Mytilus edulis: one gene and its partner. The protein of the gene in region 2 interacts with the protein of the main gene of each other region in a pairwise test. Links are inferred from orthologs where the notes say so. Each region holds a gene or a part of one and is shown on either strand. Other genes may lie near its edges. The genes, in order: uncharacterized protein and ubiquitin-conjugating enzyme E2 variant 2-like.

The links.
Region 1: the proteins of ubiquitin-conjugating enzyme E2 variant 2-like (region 2) and uncharacterized protein interact in a two-hybrid assay, tested with the Caenorhabditis elegans proteins (2 studies listed by BioGRID). The link is inferred for Mytilus edulis from reciprocal best matches to the Caenorhabditis elegans genes uev-1 and ndk-1.

The regions. Positions count from the first base shown.
Region 1 is NC_092351.1:1,683,827-1,695,850, reverse strand, and holds the start of uncharacterized protein, read left to right. Parts: upstream 1-6,212; 5' UTR 6,213-6,287; coding exon 6,288-6,461; intron 6,462-12,024. Other genes in the region: alcohol dehydrogenase class-3-like, read left to right, coding at 54-84.
Region 2 is NC_092348.1:73,765,043-73,776,296, forward strand, and holds the start of ubiquitin-conjugating enzyme E2 variant 2-like, read right to left. Parts: upstream 5,892-11,254; 5' UTR 5,807-5,891; coding exon 5,785-5,806; intron 2,233-5,784; coding exon 2,087-2,232; intron 1,182-2,086; coding exon 1,047-1,181; intron 1-1,046. UniProt on the Caenorhabditis elegans protein: Involved in protein ubiquitination, but has no ubiquitin ligase activity on its own. The uev-1-ubc-13 heterodimer catalyzes the synthesis of non-canonical poly-ubiquitin chains that are linked through Lys-63.

The DNA of each region.
Region 1 (12,024 bases), on a different chromosome or scaffold from region 2:
AACACACATACTAAACAAAAAAATATATAAAGATATCTTTGTTTTACTTACAGCTTGCGAACTGTCCTGGATATGTGGGCTTAATTATTGGTTAGAAAGTGAAGAAAATTCTAGGGAAAAGAAAAATGGCGGAAGCCGCATATTTCTATCTACAATGGTTTAAGGAATTACCAAAATATTAATCAGAAATTATAGAACAGTCAGTTTAAGGACAGTACGTCGTCTATAGACATGTAATAATAAAGACTGTCCCTGATTTAAGTATAGAAGGTGATGAGCCATATTGACTTCAACGCTTTGTTTTTATATGCTTAGAATAAACTTAATATTAACCTATTATGTTTTCATTGCCTCTGTATTGCCATTGCGTGACTTATTTGAGAGTTTCAAAAACAAAAAGGGCAACCCTAGGTATAACATTGCCCACTCTAACATTTTTTACCATATCAAGTTACTGAAAATTGAATATCTATATATAATGGTCTAAATATAATTATGTCTGTTTTGTTCACGCATCGTTGTAAATATAACGGAATTTGATGAGACTGTCGTACAAGTGAGAGGTTTAGCGCTATAAAACCAGGTTCAATCCACCATTTTCTACATTTAAAAATGCCTGTACCAAGTCAGGAGTATGACATTTGTTGCCCATGCGTTTGATGTGTTTTTGTCATTTGATTTTGCTATGTGATTTATAGGGACTTTCCGATTAAATTTTCTTCGGAGTTAGGTATTTTTGTGATTTTACTTTTTAAAATGAAGATGTTTGTTCGGAATTTTCCCCCGCTTCTTCTTTCATTAATTGAGGTTTTACCTCATTTTTTATTTATGCAATTATGAAAAGGTTTCTGTAATAAGTTCAAAATATGATGTAATGTAATAAAACATTGAATTGAATTGAATTGTAATGTACTTTGTTAACTCATCTAAAAAAAATTAATATGCATAGAGGAATGTTATACATGTAAGTATTAAATTCACAACGATGAACCGAATGCGAGTGTAAAATTATAATCATTGAAAAAGACAGACGACAGCAATGGAGTGATAAAAAGTCATCAATGGGATGATACAATACATATAACTCGAAGAAAAACAGAAAATACCATGACAGTGGTAAACAAGAACAACGACGGAAAGACAAAGTGAAAGTCTTCAAAATACGGAAATTGAATAACTTCATGAGCGAAAGAAACTCCACCAAAATACAACGGGGTTGCTAATAGGTTCTTCAGAAGGATATTAAACCGCCGTGTTGGACCAAATGCACGTGCCTCAGAATTTTTTTTCTGGAGTATATCATTGGTCATTTGTGAAAAACACATCTGAATAATAATAGCGTACATATATAACAATTACATACGCTGCAGCTGTATAGTTATAGCCATATCAAAAACACATCTGAATGGGTATGTTCGTCACGAACGATGCCGGAACACGGAATTGTTCGGTTTCCTAATAGACCGATTCTTCACTTGACCTTTGCAACACGACGGTTACTACTGCTAAAATCTGAACCAAAATCAGTTTGTTCATCGGTCTTTTTTTCATGATATAAATAGAGATGTAGTATGATTGCCAATGAGACAACTCTTCACAAGAGACCAAATGACACAGAAATTAACAACTGCGTGTATATAGGTCGCCGTACGACCTTCATCAATGAGCATAGCCTGCATAGTCATATATAACAGGCCCCGAAAAGTCAAATGTGACAAAATTAACGGTCTAATCAATGTACAATATAATAAACCAAAAACAAAAATGTTATACACTAACATACGACAACCACTGAATCACAGGCTCTTGACTTTGAATGTCCCTCTGGTATATTTAGCCTCTCTCTTATCTATCTTGTACATCAATTTATCGACATTTTCAATATAATGATTCTCTATTATAATAGTTGAAAACTACCACTTCTGATTTATCTCCATTTACTTCAAATTTACGAAGCACATTCAATTTGTCACTATCTGGATCGGGATAGTTTTACCCTTTCAGAACGTATGTGATCACCCCATGTTTTTGTGTTCGAATTGCTTGGTCATTAGTTTCTATGTTGTGTTTTGTAGATTGTTGTTTTTCTTTCTTTTTTTTTTCTTTTTTTTTGTCGCCGAGTTGTGAGGTTTTTTTTTTTCCTTTACAATTTTGAATCAATATTATATGAGTATCGTCAAAATAAAAAATTCAACATTACTAAATTTTATTGGAAAAGGATTTTCGAATGTGAAAATCTTTAATCAAATCATTAATGAATGTATAAAAAAAAACAAAGAAGAAGAACGTCTTCCTGTTTCACCCCAGAACTAGTTAATTAAGTCACCTTTTCGTATTTAATTATGTATTGACTTCCCAAGATGTGTTTATAGGGTACATATAGAAAAAATTACATGGATACAATTTAGAATTCTAATATCGCGTCCTTATTACGCTTTGTAAATAAAGCCGTGTTCTAATGAGCACAAAATATGTTTGACACATGCGCACGAATTTACTGTTTATATTAACGTTATTTCAATCGTTATCCATTAAAATATATACATTTAAGCAGCTAACGTTATTTCAATCGTTATCCATTAAAATATATACATTTAAGCAGCTAACATTAACTTTTATTGTATATTTTCATTAAACAACATATATTTTCACCGCACGTAGTTTTTAAAAACTTATCAAATTTGAAATGTAATGTACAGACTCCTCGGGGAGGAAACGGGAATAGCCAAAGATTTTTACGGTATTTTCGTACGCTTCAACTTATAAAAATACAGTATTGGTCCTATTAGAATCGAAATAATTCCTTCATGTCATGCTCTATGCTCATTTAAACATGGGTAGGCATGTAGGCTAACGCTCAGTGTAAAATATCGACAAATATAATGCCTACCCATGTTAAAATGAGCATAGAGCATGACATGAAGGAATTATTTCTTAAGGAGTAATTTTGCTATAGAATGGAAAAATGCTGCATAACTTTTCTGTTTTAACAAGGATTTTTATAGTAAGATTCTTATTATACAAATCCTTGGTCATGTTGGTTTCATTCTTTAGAATTATCACTAAGTTTTTTAAGTGTAAAACTATGGTCGGATGTTCTAATTGTGGATAAACTAAAAAGTAGCTGTAGATTCTACATCAATTATTTTCAACTTTACCGTTGGACTTTGTAAAAAATACGGAAAGTCGGAACAAAAGTTATATCTCGAAGAATTTATAAGCCTGGTATCTTGGATGATTTTGCTTAATTGACTATTTTCAATCAGGCTCATCCGACCACAGAACATAAAAAATAAATAACAATTGATGACGAGATTAAGAAGTGTGTTTCCATTCTCAACGGAACTATCACCAACGTTCGCAAGGTATGAGATATATTCTAACCTAAAATATGTCCGTCAAATATATTATAAACAATAGTTCAGAGTATTCATTCACGACGAAAATACACATTTTAAAGCAATCGGTCATTAGAGTGATCAGTAGTATGATAATTTGTATAAGAAAACAAAACTTCACCGGTAAATATTACAATAATATTGCATATTACATATGTGATAAGGTAGAGGCAGGGGTGTCCCCTTTATTTTTACTATATAAAGCTAGCTTAAGTGATCCTGTCCAGTTTTTATTTGTTTTTTATTTACATTTATATTCCAATCCGTAAACTTTGGATTTTTTAGCTTTCCATTGTATAAAGCACCCTATATTTTTCCGACGTAGTCGCTATAGTTTCGGTTTGTGCCCTTTGAACTTAAGGACGCTTAACTATGGCAACAGAATACGCATGCTCGAAAATCCTTTCTGTGATTGAACAAAATGCTGTCATGGTTTTTTGATTTGGTTGTGTTTGAAAAAACGTCTCGTTAATTATATCGTGATGGAAAGCAAGTGAAAAACTATCATATTTGAACTAGATCTTACAAAGATTTATATTTTCATTGAAATAATTGTTTCTCCAATAGCTCTTTGCATCCGTGACAGATGTGTATTGGGAACAATTATATAATTTTTAATTTAAACTTTGTTGTAACATAAATTCGATTTTTTCCTTTGATGTTTTTATGAAATAATTTGCTTAAAAAGTGGGGTGAGGGAAAACCATGGTATATTATATGCAAATTTATGTTGTACCATACTTTGCTAATTAAATATGCAACTCGACTATAATCCAAAGGAAAAAAGGCGGAGCTTCAGCCATGGTATAACATATTCATTTTCATGTTATTCCATAGCTGAAGCTCCACCTTTTTTTTTTAAATGTATCCGCCTCTAAAATATTTAGGAAACTGTAAAACGTACTAAAAGGTCAAGATCTTCATTTGTTTTCATTTTATAAGAAAAAGCACAAACTATATAGGATTATTACGAATTCCCTTAATTTTGGAAACAATTACTAAATGTTTCTTCTTTCAGTTTTGAAAAAAAAATAAAATGTAAAACTATCATTTCCTTTGCGAAAATTCAATTAAATTTCGATTTAAAAAGGGGGGTACCTATACAAAAAGGAATAAATATCGGCTACAAATATCTGTGAAAAAACATGATTAGGGGACGTACACTATCTACGCCCCTGGATTCGCCACTGTTAAAATATTGTTTTAGTCATTAAAATTGTGTTTTAATAAATAATCTAATAAAATAACGGAAGAAAAGCATTTTTCAATTAGATGAAAATTCTGTAAAATATGATTAATTTGTATGATACATTGAAAACAAAACAAAAAACCAATTCTTACCGTCATTAGAATAATTATTTAATCCTTGTCGCTGGAATCCGACATTTTTGTTTACCTCAGTCTGATGACATTATGAAATTACCTGCGCCTACAATCATACACGGGGCGCAAAACTAAAAAGAAAATCGGGAAAATCCGACATTTTCTTTACTTTCTGCAAATTCAGGGGATCTATTACATGAAATACACAGACGAGACAAAAGTGACTTGCGCTAGCTTCCATTTCATTGGATAAAACTGTAACGTGATCAATTTGCAATATTAGTTGAAGGTCTTGAAGCTGTCAATCATTTTATTTATATTACAAATTTTATATACCATGTGTCTTACTCATTAACATATTTAAACAAACTCATCCTTCGGATTCGTTTGTTTAAATATGTTAACTCGTAAAAACCATGGTATATATAGTACTTGTACGAACGTACATGACTTTTAGAACGCAGCTACGCATGTGAGATTTCCGCCGGGTTTTGGTGAATTTAAGGATGTACTTAGGTGAGGTTTTGGAATATGTGTCAAATGTTCAGACTCCTTGGTGTTTTTCCATACAATACAATGAAAAATATTTTGCCCCATAACACCCATTTATTTTTTCATATAAGACTTAATAGCTCATGAAAGGTTATTTACCAAAATTTTAAAAGATTCTTGATTTTCTTTCTTTTGTTTTGAGACCCAAATAATACCAATGCAAATATAAGGTAAAAGTCTGAGTCAGCCTTTTCCCGCCATATTTTAAATCTCAAATATCTCGAAAAGGAGGTCCATGACCTATTAATATTTTTAGGTTATCTTTATCGTTAATTGATGCTCTACCAGCTTATAGTATCAATTTTAATTTCTTAATTTCTTAATTTTTACCTAATCTCACCTAAGTACATCCTTAAACAGAAAGATACGAGGACCGAGAATACTGAACACAAACAGAGAAAACGTTATTTAAATGGTATCTTTGTGCTTCTGAAGGTTATCGAAATAACAGTTTTAAACATATACTCAAATTTAAATACGTCGGATATCTTTTTTAAAGATAGTTCTTGTTAGTTTTAGTTGTGTACAGTAAATCTTAAAAATAAATATTACTATACAAATCCTTGATAAGGCCTAGATACTTTTACCTTTTAATTGCGTAAATTATTTTATCAGTCCTTAAATATTTTAGATTTTATCCGTGTACAGCGAATCTAAATTTTTTATGTTATTTGTTGAAAACTTTTAGTGCACACAATATAAGTTTTAATTAACTCCCGTCTGCATAATATCCGTTGCGGAGGTGTTCCATAATTGGAAGTATCTACATGTAGAAGAAGAAGAAGAAGAAGAAGAGGAAGATTGCAAGACGGTCACTGGACGCGGACCTCACCGAAAACACCCTTCCAAACGCGGACCTCCACGAAATCTCCCAACTAATTTGCAATAAACTATACATTATTAAAAAATGTAGAACAGACTATACTTGCTTAGAACGCCATCTGTTGTCAATGAAACTGTAGACACGTGATACCGGCGAAATTTGTTCAACTTCCTTTTTCACTTTTCTGCCACATGGTTGCTACCCTCTTAGCCATTTTCTCACAATTTTCATCAGAAATGGCTGCCAACAACGAAAGATCTTTCATCATGGTTAAACCTGATGGTGTTCAAAGAGGGTTAACTGGCGAAATCATCAAAAGATTTAACAATAGAGGCTATAAACTGGTTGCATGTAAATTAGTTCAGGTGATATATTTTCCCAAAATGTCAAATGCATTAATTATAAAAAAAATATATTGTGTAGAGGTGAGTTCAATGTCAGCTCTCAGACTACATGAACACACTAACATATTACAGTTTAACTGTTTAATCCGTGGGATGACAAATACATCTATAAATATTTCTATTCAAGACAACTTGAAGGAATCGGCTTGAAGCCTTTCTGCGCAGGGTTCAAAGCCAAAAAATATAAATATAGCCTTACAACTCTTGAAATTCAAGACATAATTATTTAGAATAAGTTCAATTATTCAGGTGTAATGATAAGTCGTTATCCTAAGGCTAATTTTTTCTTATTTTTCTGTACACTTAGCTTTCATTTTTTATTACCATGCATTGTCAAGCTTGGTAACTCATAATTATTTGTCAGTAACTAAATGTACGATGCTGTCCCATACTGAACCTTCTGACCTTGTTTGTTTACATTTAAATTTCAATGGCGTCAAAATCACGTGATGTCAATTCGTTCTACCCAATCAAATTGCTCTACTGTCAATTAGGGGATTTTCCAGTCTACGGCAATTACGTTATTTCTTTGTGGGATATTGCTTCAAAATAGTTTGCAATAATTTTGGGTTTTATTCAACAGGAAAACTCTTTTTAGCCATCCCTTTTGACATCAGTGGAATTCTGTATGAATATTTATCTATAGTCATGATGGTCAGAATATCGATCTTTTTATAATGAATAAAAAGAAAATTCTATGAAAAATAAATGTTAATTATTTTTCATTAACCTACTCTATATTCCCGTACAAAATTATGGCATGGGCATCGTTTTTTTCAATTAGTTTTCCTTTTATTTGGTTGGGTTTTTTTCGCGGGAAAATCGCGAAAGACGTAAGGAGCATGTCATTTTAAAATTCCTAAAAATACGATTTGCTTGACCTGTATTGCCTGCCACAAGATTGATGACGCTGAATGGAATGTACACAAAGCAATGGAGGCCGGAAGTGGGATTTTGTGAAGTTCTAGAATGCTTTTAGACATTCGGAAGTCGGGATTGAAACGGGCATTAGAAATTTGGCATTTTTTAGCAATAATTGAGAACAACAATGAAAACTTACCTTCAGAAATGTTTTTTTATTCAAAAGTGCAGAAAAAACGTATTTTACATTGTTTTTCTACGCCGGAAGTAGCGTAGTGACGTCAATGCGGAGTTTCCCGGTGTGTTAAGTTCAAACACAAATACCTAACGAACTGACAAGATGAACGATTTTAGACTACGGTAGGATACCTAGTCCAAATAATTATGTCCCTCTTGAAAGGTTGTTTAGATTTTAATTCCCCTTGTCAGTGTCCGTACCAGTGGCTGATCCAGAGGTGGCGTAGAGGGCGCAAGCTGGCCCTTAGCTGGGAAACCGTAGCTCTTGGGTGATTATGCTATTTTACTATTTGCAGACCATAGAGCTACGGATTTTCCTTTTTCAAAATGGTTCAGGTCGCACTTATTTAACAGTTTAAAATAATTAATTTGTTTAATACCCTAAAAATATGTTTACCATCAATGCAAAGCTTGTCAATTTATATAGTTCGTTTCTTTAGAAATTGTTTTCCGTGACGTCACACGAGATTCAATATGGCTGAACAAAATAGGCGGAGAATGTATACAAATGGGAATAATTATATAATCAGTGATATTGTTTGCCTCAAATTACAGCCGAAATTCGGCCTTTTCCCCTAGAGAAAATTCCCAATTACTTAAAAAAATGGCTTAAAATTCCTCCCAAAAAGTTTAACATTTTCCCCAAACAGTGATGGCATTGGAAGTAATGTTTGTAAATATCGTATTCATGTTATTATTTTGATATTAGAAAGCACTTTTGAGATCCGGTTTTCTGATCAGAATCATCATGGTGTTTGTAACACATGTAGTTTTCAATGCATTAAGTATCATCATTGCTTCTGTTTCTTTCTCTCTCCGAAAAGTACCTTCCAGATTGAAAATGTCTGACAACCAAAATATACATGAAAAAAAACAGTGTAAAAAGACAGCAAAGCCATGAAATCATCAGTGATGGATTTAGAATAAAATATACAAATTTCCCAATTTCAATACAATTTATGCATTTTTCCCAATAAAAAACAGTAGAGGTAGTTTTGAAAAAAAACAACAATATCACTGATAATAGTGTTTAGGAAATGAATATTCAATCATAATTCGGTACGTTATATCCAAGAAAAATATCTAATGAAACGAACTATATAAATTGACAAGCTTTGCATTGACAGTAAACAATATCTTTTTGGGAAACAAGTGTGGCCTGAACCTGGGTCACAATTCCTAACGTTTTGAAATACACTGGGGTAAAGCTGATGACCGTAACTGCATTCACGGTCATCCCAAGATGTCGGATGAAAAATTAGGTCAGTTTCTGTATTGTCTGTTAAAGTGTTTCTATATCATTTTCTTTACAAATCATACATTGATACGATGTAAATTTATAAAAGAATCACTCGAAAATCACTAATTACTTCCGAGAAATGTGCATGAAACAGGAAATTCGATTTGAAAAAATCGTTAAGATGACCGTAAATCATAATCAAAATATTTTCAAGATGACCGTAACATAAAACAAGGATGACCGTGATTGGTAAAAAGATGACCGTAACTTGTAAAGGATGACCGTAATTTGTAAAGACTGACTGTAATTTATATAGGACGACCGTAACTTTTATAGGATGACCATCAATTCTAAGAAATATCCGTATTGTATTCAAAGCTTTTTTGTTGAGTTTTCGATCTCAATAGGGGCTCGGTTAGCGAATATAAATATGTTTCATAAATTTCTTTTTTTAAACTATAATATAATTGGCCATATTTAGGATTTATAACAATGATAGTAAATTGCATATTTCTTGTAAACAATGAAATATTTATTGATATCGACGTTAAAATTTTAACACAAATTTACAGCGATACGACGAAAATTTGAAGAAACATGAATGTGTCCCTAGTACACTGATGCCTCATCTACACTATCATTTTCTATGTTTAGTGGACTATGAAAATGGGACAAAACTGTAATTTGGCATTAGAATTAAAAAGATCATTCCATAGGGAAAATGTGTACAAAGTTTCAATTTTATTTAACTTGAAGCTGGACAAACGGACAAACAAACAGACGAACGGACGAATGTACGCACAGACCAGAAAAACATAATGCCAATAAATGGAGCATCAAAAACATTAATAATACATACGAATATTTGGTAATCGAGCCCATGTGGATGGGTCCAGAGGAAGCAGATTAAAATCTTAATTTGTCTTGATATATGCAGGCGGAAACACCTTTGAAATAGAACAAAAGAATCGAAGCTCTGTGTTTATCGAGAAAGCGTAATGTTTGATATAGTAACAAAATTTTAAAAAGTTAATAGAAACAAATAAAACGACAATTTTCTTATTTTAAAAACACCATTTGCATAAGTTTTCAATGTATCTATTACATAGTAATGCAAAATAATAAGATATCAAGTCGACGACATGGTTCTTATCGGGGCCTTATATAGCTGACTATGCGGTATGGGCCTTTGCTCATTGTTGAAGGCCTTACGGTTACCTATAGTTGTTAATGTTTGTGTCATTTTGGTCTTTTCTGGATAGCTGTTTCATTGGCAATAATACCACATCTTCTTTTTTATATATAGTATCTATAAGTTGGATGTAGAAAATGCATAACCTCCGATTTTTTTTTTATCACGGACGGAGAACATATCAATCTTTTAGTTCAGAAATTTTCGTGTCTGCCCTTCCATTATGTGAATCAAGAAAAAATTACCCAAAACAGGTAATGATTGTAACGAAAAGAGAAAAATCAAGTGCACCTTTTTATGTTAGGGCATGTTTGGGGTGTATATTTTGTCTTTAAAACGTACAAAACAAGAGTATTTTATATAGCATCTCGCTTCAGATTCTATCATTATTATATATCAAAGCTACAGGTTGACTTTATAACGTAAAAAAATGACAGTACGAAAAGATGAAATATATGGTTTTATTGAGATACAATGTACCTATCTAATGAATCACAAAAACAGAGTAGGTGTGTTCGAATAGCTATTTTTTCTAAAAGTACTTGACGACAGTCTTTTAGTTTGGATGATGAAAATGTGTGTGTGATAACTAGGGTTTATAATCTTCAACCACTGAAAATGTTTAGTCTGCCCTTCCACGAAATATTTAATTAGAATTTTTTTAAATGCTTAAGAATTTTCAAAAATTCCATCTGACATCCAAACAGACAATATTTTTAAGTTGAATCAATGCAGACAAGATCATTAACTAATGCTCATTAGCTAGTAGATACATTTGTATTTTAAAATATAACTGACATATAACGATCGATCGTAATGGTGCTATGTGGATAAATTTATCAGTTTTCAAGAGCAAAATTGGCAGAGCGTCATCCCTACAATGGCTTCCATTTCTACGACTGTGAGCATGAACTGGCGTAATGGGGAGATAATTTTGAAGAAGTAGAATCCCGACTGTATGAATAACATTTCTGTATATATACAAATTGACAACGTTCCGCCTTGTGATACGCTTTTCGTACAATACTATTTTAAGGATCTACTTTGCTGGAGCTCACCTTCACTAGTTTATTCGAATGATATTTTCAAAATATTTCTGTTATTTTATTTGCACGACAAAATGAAAGACGATATAATATCAATGGGTGTACATGCAATTTTTTGGCATTTTTAAAAATGTGTATTTATTATATGTCATTAAAAGGAATCCCAGAAACAAAAAAAATCTTTTGTCGAGCAGTTGAAGGCTGTGCACCGCATGTCTTTTGGCAAATTCATTTTAAAAATTGAACCCTCTAGCTAATGTAAAAAAGATACATATGGTTATCTTTGCATTTGAAGCACGTCTTATTTTCTTCTACCTATAGGATAAAACTTTCATATTAATATGTGTATACCAACACGATTAATCATTTGATACAAAAAGATAGTTATATAAATACGGATATTTCTAAGAATTGAGGGTCATCCTTTAAAAGTTACGGTCATCATTGACCAATTACGGTCATCTTAAAAGCAGTTACGGTCAGCCTTGTTATGAATCGCTGATTCTGTTACGGTCATCTCGATTGTGATTTACGGTCATCTTGGCGATTTTTTCAAATCGAATTTCCTGCTTTATGCACATTTCTCAGAAGTAATTAGTGATTTTCGAGTGATTCTTTTATAAATTTACATCGTTTCAATGTACGATTTGTAAAGAAAATGATATAGAAACACTTTAACAGACAATACAGAAACTGACCTAATTTTTTATCCGACATCTTGGGATGACCGTGAATGCAGTTACGGTCATCAGCTTTACCCCAGTGAAATAGGAAAAATTCGTAAAATAGTAAAAAATAGCATAAGGACCTAAGAGCTACGGTTGTGCATCTAGCCCGCCCTTTTTTTTGTAAAATTATTAATCCGCCTAGACTTCACGAAATTTGCCGTGTGTTTTATGTAACAATTCTTCACTTATAAAGATATTTTTCGCTCTAATTTACTGTTAT
Region 2 (11,254 bases):
TATAGGGTCAATCGGTAAAGGGCAAACAAACAATATTTTAATTTAGGCCTAAACATTACTGGGGGAAGTTATCGTTATTGAAATTGGTCCAATTTTATTGGGTTACTGTTTTCATTGGTTTTGAGTTGTTTTTAACTTGTTTTTTATGATATTCAGTATGATTTCAATGATGTTTATCCTATACCTTTTATTTTATGATATTCAGTATGATTTCAATGATGTTTATCCTATACATTTTATTTTATGATATTCAGTATGCTTTCAATAATGTTTATCCTATACCTTTTATTTTATGATATTCAGTATGCTTTCAATGATGTTTATCCTATTCTTTTTATTTTATGATATTCAGTATGATTTCAATGATGTTTATCCTATACATTTTATTTTATGATATTCAGTATGATTTCAATGATGTTTATCCTATACATTTTATTTTATGATATTCAGTATGATTTCAATGATGTTTATCCTATACATTTTATTTTATGATATTCAGTATGATTTCAATGATGTTTATCCTATACCTTTTATTTTATGATATTCAGTATGATTTCAATGATGTTTATCCTATACCTTTTATTTTATGATATTCAGTATGATTTCAATGATGTTTATCCTATACATTTTATTTTATGATATTCAGTATGCTTTCAATGATGTTTATCCTATACCTTTTATTTTATGATATTCAGTATGATTTCAATGATGTTTATCCTATACATTTTATTTTATGATATTCAGTATGATTTCAATGATGTTTATCCTATACATTTTATTTTATGATATTCAGTATGATTTCAATGATGTTTATCCTATACATTTTATTTTATGATATTCAGTATGATTTCAATGATGTTTATCCTATACATTTTATTTTATGATATTCAGTATGATTTCAATGATGTTTATCCTATACCTTTTATTTAATGTGAATTCTACTTTACAGATACAAATATGTCATATGAATTGTGAGTTTTTTTTTTCTATAGGTACATTTTTTGTACAAAATTCATATTCCTTGTTTCACTGATTAATAAACTTACCAAACCTGTCTGAGGGCCAGAATCAAGTACACACGTCATTTTTAACTTGGATACAAATCTAGCTATTGGAGGTTTGTCTGGATAGTATTCACCACAGGTTAGTTTTAATGTATAGATTTTACTTTCAAAAGGTGTCTGAAAAATATAAAATACATATCAAATAACAGTGTAATACAAGTAATATAAAGATACCAAGTTCACTGAATAGAACAAATGATGTCTAATCAGTGGTACTCATAACTAAACAAGAATGCATGGTTTGTCATGCTAAGCATATATAACCCTGATAAGCAATTCAAAATATTGGAATTTCGTAGTTGCCCGACGGATCTGGAAAGCATAAACTCTTCATAACTTATGACCTTCTGTTAAGAAGTCCCTCAGAAAAGTGTGACAAAAATATTTGTTTTTATTCAACCAATAGGAAACAGGAAGTAAGTTGCTGATCAATTCAAAATTCACATGTTACAACATCATATGTAGTAATCATTGTCAAGCTGCACACTATTTCTGAAGGCATTCCTGAGAATGGTGTGGCTGATATATTTTTGTTGAATGAACAAGGTCATTGCAATATAAGTAATATAATATTTGAAAACTGAAAAATGTGAAATGTTGAGTTGTAATAAAACTAAAGAATTATCAAGAATGGACCCTACATTAGAAAACTCTTTTTTTTAAATTGAAAATTTCTGTTTCAACATTTCAGTAATGTTTCTGTGCAAAATACCCACTACAGTCCTCATTCAAATGTATTGTTCTGGCATTATTTAAAGATACATTTTCATTGTGAAACATCAGTTAATACACATGTAATTATACTAAAACTATGATTTCAACTCACTAATAATTGACATTTTCAGATGTGTATGCCTGTATTACTTTTTTAACTGGTATATTTATATGTAGTATTACAGATAATGCAGACTTGTACTAGATGAATGTCTGCAGGAGTTACTTAAATTGGGCAGGTGTTGAGTGTTGACAATGAACATTTCCTAAAAGGTATAAACACATGCCAGTAGTTTTTCCTATCTTACCCTTGGTGGTCCTATAATTGTTCCTGTCCAGTGTGTTAATGTATTATCATCATCATTTTCTAAACCCCAGCTTATTGTGCCGTCACTAACACCCTTCTGTCCAGTCTCCAACTCATCTAATAATTTAAAATTTCTTGGTACTTTCACTGCAACATAAAACATAAAAATTAAGTTTATGGAGGACTGACATACATGTACATGTATATACATGTATAACAAAGTTGTGAAAATGTGTTAAAGAGGGACGAAAGATACCAAAGGGACAGTCAAACTCATAAATCTAAAACAAACGCCATGGATAAAAATGAAAAAGACAAACAAACAACAGCACACACGACACAACATAGAAAACTAAAGAATAAACAACACGAACCCCATCAACTGTAACTGTGACTGTTTAGTGATTTATGGTGGAAACGCAGACTTTGTCTATGAATATACAACTATGCAGGTTCTTATCTAGGATATTTGGAGAGGGAGATGTGACTCTTCATGCAGAGAAATTGGAGAAGTTGTCAATTTTTAGAGAAGTGGATTAAAATAATGTAATCAGTTGCTTAGTATTGTCATCTTTACACCTGGGGACTCAACTATGTATTTCATGATTATATATATTTATATATATTATTGTATATATACCCTTTTAGACTTGTTATTTTAATATACAGATTATTCAATAAACACATATATGTTAACATCTACATCATTTGATTCTAGTTGATAAATGTCTCATTGGCAATCGCAAAGATATTTCACAGTTACTCATGCAAACTCCATTCAGAGTGATGTTATATAATTAGACTGAATTCAGAATTGCATGTACTGTAAATTCTGAAATTAATGCGACGTTTTTATTATTGAGAAAAATGTGACAGAGTTGTAAAGGCAATATTATTTAAACATGTTAAACAGGATTTTTTTCAAAATCGTAAAAATTAAAATTGCATTTAAGTCTAAACTGACAAAATCGCAATAATAAATACACACAATAATTTCTGAATTTACAGTACTTTGTTAATGATTATAGTCTTACTTAAAAGTTTGTAAAGCTAACAATAAATGTCAAACAAGGAAGAGTTTCAGTTCTGCTTTAATAAATACATTGTATCAGTGATGTTTTCCATTGATGGTACATTTTGTACTAGCCGTGGGTCTACATTGTTACCAGCAAAGTATGAAGTAATGGTACTAACTGTACACAGGGTATTAACAATTAGTCAATATTAAAATCTCATTAGACAAGATAATGATTATATGAAGTATCTTCCACTAATATGTATTGATTTGATTGTCTAGGTAATATTTTGAATGGTTGTCAATAAAAAAAATAAAGTCTAAAAATATTTTGTCATTAATTTGTGATGGAAATTCAGACTCACCCTTTTGACAAAAAATTGAATTAGTGTTTGCCCCCAGCATGCTATATTTTCTACCATGGTTCTATCTTGGATTTTATAACAGATTGTATAGAGCCTGGGGCCATGGTACGTTATTGTTTTTGGAAAACCAGTGCTGCTATGATAATTTCAATGGTGCTTTTTTAAATTCTAGGGAGAACAAAGAAACTGATGGATTTATTTTATTCCTTGTGGCAAACATATTTATAGTAGACCCTAGTTTTGAGTCAAGAGCCTAACATTTTTTATCAATATTTCTTCAAAATCTTTTCACCACTGAACATGGATCAGTATAGTTTTAATCCATCATACATTTTCATTGAACTTTAACACATTTTTGTTTAAAGGCAGCTGATCATGAAGCCCGCCTCAGAGTAGAGGATTTTCTCACTGTGTTGAAGACCCTTGAATTGGTGGCCTTCTGCTATTTGGCCTGGTTGTTGTCTCTTAGACACATTCCCTGTTTTCATTCTCAATTTCATAATACATACATTTGTTTTGTAAATGAAATCAAGATTATAATCATAGTATTTTTTCTTCCTACATTAGCTAGTATACATTGTGTACATGTGGGATATCAAATGGATTACCTGTTGTAAATTAATAACATGCTTAATGTTTGATTGAAGAAAAGCTATTTCCAAGGTTGGGCGGTAAATACCACGCCTGGTATTTACCGGAATTTACCGCCCCGAATAATACTCCCCAAGTGGTCAATACTGGCAAATATTGGTTGATTCAAATTTTCATGGTTGTTTTTACTATTTTTTCATAACACCCCTTTTCTTGAATGATATTATTCCTAACATAGTTTATCTTTTTGAATAAAATGTAGCTACTGTGAATTTAAACATTTTGAAGGCTATACAGTTGCCATACTCATAGTATAATTGTTTACATGTCATGCACTTCATTTCAACTTTGATGGATAGTTTTCTCAATGTCAATCATACCACATCTCCTTGTTTTATGTGTAACATGCATAAGATAATGAATAATTCAATCATGAAAAAAGTTGTTTTTTAAATAATTCATTTGTTTGTCATAGATTGTGTATGTGATTAAATATCCATGTCTTAATCGTAAGCTACAGCTACTTCTTTTTGTCCTAGAGGTTTCTGGTGCCTCAAAAAAAATATGATACATATTTATCATGTTTATTTAACGGTACTTTTATCAATAAATTCAAAAGTTTCTACCAAAAACATTATTTCTGAAAATTGTACAGGAATCAACTGCCATGTCTGTTGCAAAAGAAACACTATTCAAAACTTAATATAAGCAGTAACAGTAACTAAGATCTTTACAATGACTAGTCTTTGGCAAACTAAAAAAAAACAATAATTGGGTAAAAGGGAGCAAATTGATGTCATAAATGTACTTTTACAGTTCATGTAATTTAGTTCATGCAATATTCTGTAGGTGTGACTTCATGATCACCATATCTGATTGATATTGAGAATTTGACAGATGTGTTCCAAATTAGGGAACCCCTTGTTTTGACTAAACAGGCACAAGACAAATAATATCCATGTACAGTAACATTATGGATATGAAGTAATTAGGTAATGCAATTTATGATATCAACTGTTGTACAAATGTATATCGAAACAGGCGATTCTACTGTGAGGAAAGGTAGTGGGTTGTCATCCAACATTCCTGACAAAAAATCATTTATTCTCGAGTCCTGATAAGGTTTTATTCTGAAATCCTTCAAAAATAAAAGCCATATCCCATTATTCACACTAAAATATCTTAATCATGACAAAGGTCTGTTTGTCCCTCTACTGTATTAAAAATGTAAATTATGAGCATAAATATTGTTGAAAAAAGATTTGAATGTGGTCCAAAACATGATTTGGAAGAAATTAAATGAGTTGGTAGCACAGCATCATTTTGCTGTGTGTATCTGGTTATACTCTAGTAAAAACAAGATCATGAATCACTAACAAGGCTAAAACAGGAAATTCTTAGTGTAAACTATGTAACCACTGCATCTTTTATTGAGTTAAAAGGGTATTTAAACGAAGTCTATCCCTTTTATCATTAGAATAACATTTAAAATGTGTCCTTAAATCAAAATTTGGTTAAATTCTTTATGAAAGAAATACCATGATGTTGTGAAAATGGGAGACACCAAACCGGCGTGAAATTCCAAAGTGTTTAACGAACAAGATTTACATAGAGGGCTCTCGTTCAAGATGTCAAGTATTAGGATGTGTGTTATAGAAGTCATTTGACATGTTTTTTTAAAACAAATTTCTGCAAAACTGTTAGAAAAATAGATATTTTGATCTCGACCTGTATCTGTGGAACCCGCCATGATGGTTGCTATATGTAATATCAGAACCGAGTTAGGAATGGGGCGAATCCGGATGAGTGCTATTCGTCACAGGTGTAAAATATTATTTGTGTTTGGGAGAAATTTATTTGTGTTTGGGAGAAAAGTCGACAAAACCTGCATGCACTAGAATTTTTTTTTAAATGTCACAGCCTAAACCACAGGCACTTGTCTCAGAATTTTTTTTCTCATATACCTAATATAACAGGTATATAAGGGGGGGATTCTGCAGGGGTGGATGCAGGAATTTTCGAAAGGGGGGGGTGCTAACCCAGGGCACCCAGGGCAAAGGGGGGGGTGCAAAACATATGTCCCGATTCAAATGCATTGATCGGCAAAAATAAAGGGGGGGTGCGCACCCCCGGAACCCCCCCCCCCCCCTGGATCCGCCACTGTTCTGATACGAGTGCCTGTGGCCTAAACCGATAATTTGCCCCTCCCCCCAATGAATGAATTACATTATCAAAAATTGAAATTGTACAAAAAAAGTTTGGTTACTATATCGACCCCTAGACAGTTTTATACTTTGTAAAAACCGTATTGGACATATTGATTTATAGTGAAGAGATTTTCCTAATCGATTGTTCCGTCTTCTTTAAGAGTATTTTATTGTCCTTTGTTGCAAACCTGGATTCCCAATGCTTTCTATCGTTTAATAAATTACACGTGTAAAATGTTCTTTCCGGTAATGAATGACAAATCGACGTGTATAGCCTACATAATAAAATTCTAAAACAAATACAAAATACAAATATTTTACAAATATTTTATTGGCACAAACACAATTACAATAATTGGCAAAGGCCCATATTACAGTGCATTACAACAATGAATACAGCATACAGTTACTAGTATTTAAATATGTTATAATTAAGAAACTAAAATCTCGTTTCTATACATCAGACATTTATATATATAAGAACTAGTCACTTTCAGGACTTTTAAAGAATTACTATTAATACAACTATTAATATTTAGCTGATTTTCACTACAACATGTAGGAAGTATATTTAATATCTTATTTTTAAAGTTAAATCTATAGTTTGAATTTTTTTTACATTTCAGTAAAAAGTGATTTTCATCTTCTACCTCACCTGATTTACATACATTACAAACTCGTTCGTCAGTGGCTAAACCTAAACATCGCCCCTTTCAATAGCAAGATTGTGTGCACTCAATCTAATTTTACACAGAGATGACCTTTCTAATCTATTACTTAGAACATCAACATAAGAACTACGCTGCTTTGAATTATGAAATTGTTGATAAAATTTTAGTTTTGATGAATCATGAATTTTTGATGATTGATCCTGTGTGCACTGATCAATCACTCGTTGTTTAATACTTGGTAGATATTGTTTAATAGAAAAGTTTCCCCCAGCTAGGTTTGAAAATCCTAGATTGTTAAAAATAGAATAAAGTTTCTTTGTCCAGGGGTTATTTTTTTCAGTGCCAGAAAAACTTTGGATATAAGTGTGTCTTTGTCCAGGGGTTAAAACATGAAAATATATTTATAAAACAAACTTTTAATAAAATAAGAAAAATTAAGATGATATACGTTTCAAAATACTACTGTCAAAAATAAATAATCACGTTAAATACAATTAAATGGAAAGAATGTGTTTATATTAAACTCAATTTAGTTTAAGCAGAGACATATAATACAATTGATGTACTATATGTCTCTGGTCTAAGGTACATGATTTTTTGGGGCTTTAAAACACTGTGGAGCTATATCGGTAACTGCAAGCCAAGTACTCTCAGATATGTACTTAGTGTCCGGATTTTTTGTTGTTATTGACGAGGGATGGATAAATACCCTGCCACTATTTTTCTTTAATTTTGTATCTCAACTTTAACGTACAAAAATATGCAAAAAACTGAAATATAATCAGTGGGTTAAATTGTACGCTATAGTTATAATTAATCTATTCTGTCGTTTAATCGTGAAATATCACTGTTTCGCTTAGGGTTTAGTTCTTTTTTTAGGTGCCGATATGTTTTGCCGGCAGTCTTCAGGTGCGAAAAGATCGACTTATCAATTGTACCAAACAGTCATTATAGTTGTAATGGTCTTCTAATAATACCAGAGAGATATATACACATATTTCTGGTTTGGATGATAAGTTGGAAGCGTTTGATTTTCAAACGTGTCGCCGGATTGTCAATTTCATAGAAATACAATTTATTGAAAGAGAACATATTTACTTTGTCCCCCATTTTTTTTTATTTTTTAAGACACAGAGCCAATATCGGTAAGTTAATCATTTATTGACATCAAATCATGTCTTCCTTTGTTAGTTTTTCAAATGTACATTTGTTATGTATATGTATGGTCGTATTTGTTTTTATAAGTAAGTTGTGCTTAATTGTTCTTAAACGAATATAATTTCAGCGGCATGGGGTGATGTACATGTCCCTCATGTACGTAATGCATTGCACTGTTGAAGTACTATAGGAGAGAACACAAATGTTAGTCTTCGTTAATTCATGCTTCATACTGGAGTTTCACTCTGAAAGAAGCTACCTGGCGAGATCCGTTCGCAGACGAACATGAACCAGTTTAAAAGTATTATCAAAAACTGGAAAGACAACTCGATCATGCGCATGGGGCTCCAGCAGATCTTGATGATTTGATATTTTTTGGAGTATTCTATGCAGCTTGAAGAAATAGATGTGCATGTGCTTATAAAGTAGTTCAGTGCTTTGTTAGTTTGTGCAGATGTTTTTATAGGAACATTTTGCTATTGCATATCTTATGTATGTCTAATGTGTATGTTTTATGTGTCTTTATTGTCGGCAAAAAGCTCTATGTACAGTGCTTATCCCACGTTTGTATGGTTCTTGTTAGCCCGCAACTTAGAATACAAAGTCCTATTCTATTTCTTAAAATTTCCTGTACCTAGTCAGGAATTTGGCAGTTGTTGTTATCAAATAGTCCGTTTCTATGTGCAATGTATGCTGGCCTTTGTTTTTTGTAGCAGTTCAGTGTTTCTGTTATTCCATTGTTTTCCTCTTATATTTGATGTCACAGTTTTGGTTTGTGGACCAGATTTGTTTTAGATATTAAATAGATGTGTGGCTATTATACAGCAGTAAACTACTATTGTCTTTATCTATTATTTTCTTACACTAAATGCAAAAGCCCTTTTATTTGATGTTATTCTTATTGTATACTTATTGTGGTTAAAAAGTTTAAACCGGGAAACAACTACTTTTACAAGTTTCATACAGGAAAACAACTACTTTCATAAAAATACCGATGTCAACAAAAGAAACGATACACACGTTTGTAATCCTAGATATCATAACATATAATAGGTAAGGAAATCTGTTAAATTATCCAATAGAAAACATTCATTATCAAGGCAAATACATATGACTAAAATAATCTGACCAAATTGGAAAGTTAGAATCTACCGAGTTTTTAAACACCGACGGGCCAAAGTTATTTTGCGGAAAATGATGCCAAAAGTCGGCACTTCATTTCAAAGATGAGATTTAAGTATTCAATACCTGCGAAGTGATTCAATATTTAAAATTTAAAGTTTTAAGTTTTAATATCGATTTTTATAATTTTTGGGGTAAAAATACGATTTTTGAAATAACAACCAAAAAAAATCGCGTTTTTGCCTTAAATCAATGGTTTTGAGAAGAAAATAACACTGTAAAAGTTAGAACATTTGGTGAATTATTTGCTTTGGTACACTGTATCCAATTTTATTATTTTAAGATTTGAATGCTTCTTTTTGTAACTTCATTGGGATGTAAAAGCGTTGACCGAAGATCATTTTAAAAATGTTAGCACGGGCACCACTTTTACAACCGCTAATGTAGTTACAAAAAGAAGCATTTAATACTTATAATTACTTTTTTTTTTAGCTAGGATCACGAAAACACGATTTTTACCAAGTTTTTTTTATTTACATGTGCACTTTATTGTGGGACCTCGTGTCATCATGAATGATAAATTTTATTGTGTAATGAAGTTGATTAAGGAATAATGTGAGATTGCAGTCAGCCAATCAGAATAGTGTATTATAATGAAACATACATCTAATCTAATTACATTATATGCAAAATGCATTGCCTTGTAATTATTTCTTTTGTTGCCTTGTACATGTATATATTAAAGTTTTATTCCAGAAATCAACTTCTTTTTATAAGGATAAACAGTCTCTGGATAAACAATTATATGTTTTCTTGAAATCGGTTGTTTACGTTGTTTATTCTTGTATACATTCTAACCAAATCTAGCAGCTGCAAAATCATCTTAAACTTGTTCACACTTATGTAACACCACACGGTAGAAAAAAGTTTATAAAAAAGTAGGGTTTTGCGTTATTTTCCATCATTTAAATACCATCTGATTTCTGAAGTTTAAAGAGGGCCCTCATGGGGTTTTTGATTATGTGATTACTTGGCCGTTTTTTTTAATGATTATTTGATTATTAAGCCAAAAATTTCATGATTATTTGATTACCTAGGACTGTATTTTTAGTTTATGATTATTTGATTACTAAAGATAAGCAAATATTTAATGATTATGTGATTATATTGGCAAAAAAATGGTGATTATGTGATTACTAGGACCCCCCCATGAGGGGCCTCTTTAAAGTTATAAAAAAAGTCGCGTACTTCCCCTCCCTTTATTTGAAATAGCATTTATGTACTATCAGTACATTTATATTTTATTCAAGAATTAAAAGTTGGACAATTAACATATTGGGGAGGAATATACAATTACAGTGCAGTCTAACTTGTTTCTTTTAACATGCATGACCATTGAATTTGTTTTAACTTTGAATTTCCAGGAGTAGGAATAAATATGTTTTAATACGAAATGGAAAATATACCAATTGGACAATAATGCATAGGGCATCTTTAAAAGATTTAAATAATTTGTAACATCTTTAAACCTAATAAATATTTGCGCAACTATAAGAACATTGAGTGATCATGGCGGGTAATGAAATCCAGTAGCCGTTGCACTTACCCAATATTTAATTGCCTAAGTATCTACGACATGTTCTAAGGGAAGCAATCCCATCACACTTGTATGCTTTCTTTCAATTTTTCATCAGACATCTAAATACTTTATTGATTGTGTTACTTTCAAAAATTTTATTATCCATTTCACCAAGGATTTGTATAGTATACTATACAAATCCTTGATTTCACATAAAACTGTTTTTAAATATTCTATCAACTACATTTAAAATATGAAGAAAATATACCTACAACTTACTCTATGGAAATATACCTACAACTTACTCTATGAAGGAAATATACCTACAACTTACTCTATGGAAATATACCTACAACTTACTCTATGAAAGAAATATACCTACAACATACTCTATGAAAAAAGTGAAGGGATAAACAATCAATTGCTGCAGTGAAGAAAAAAAACAGAATAGGACGTACTCT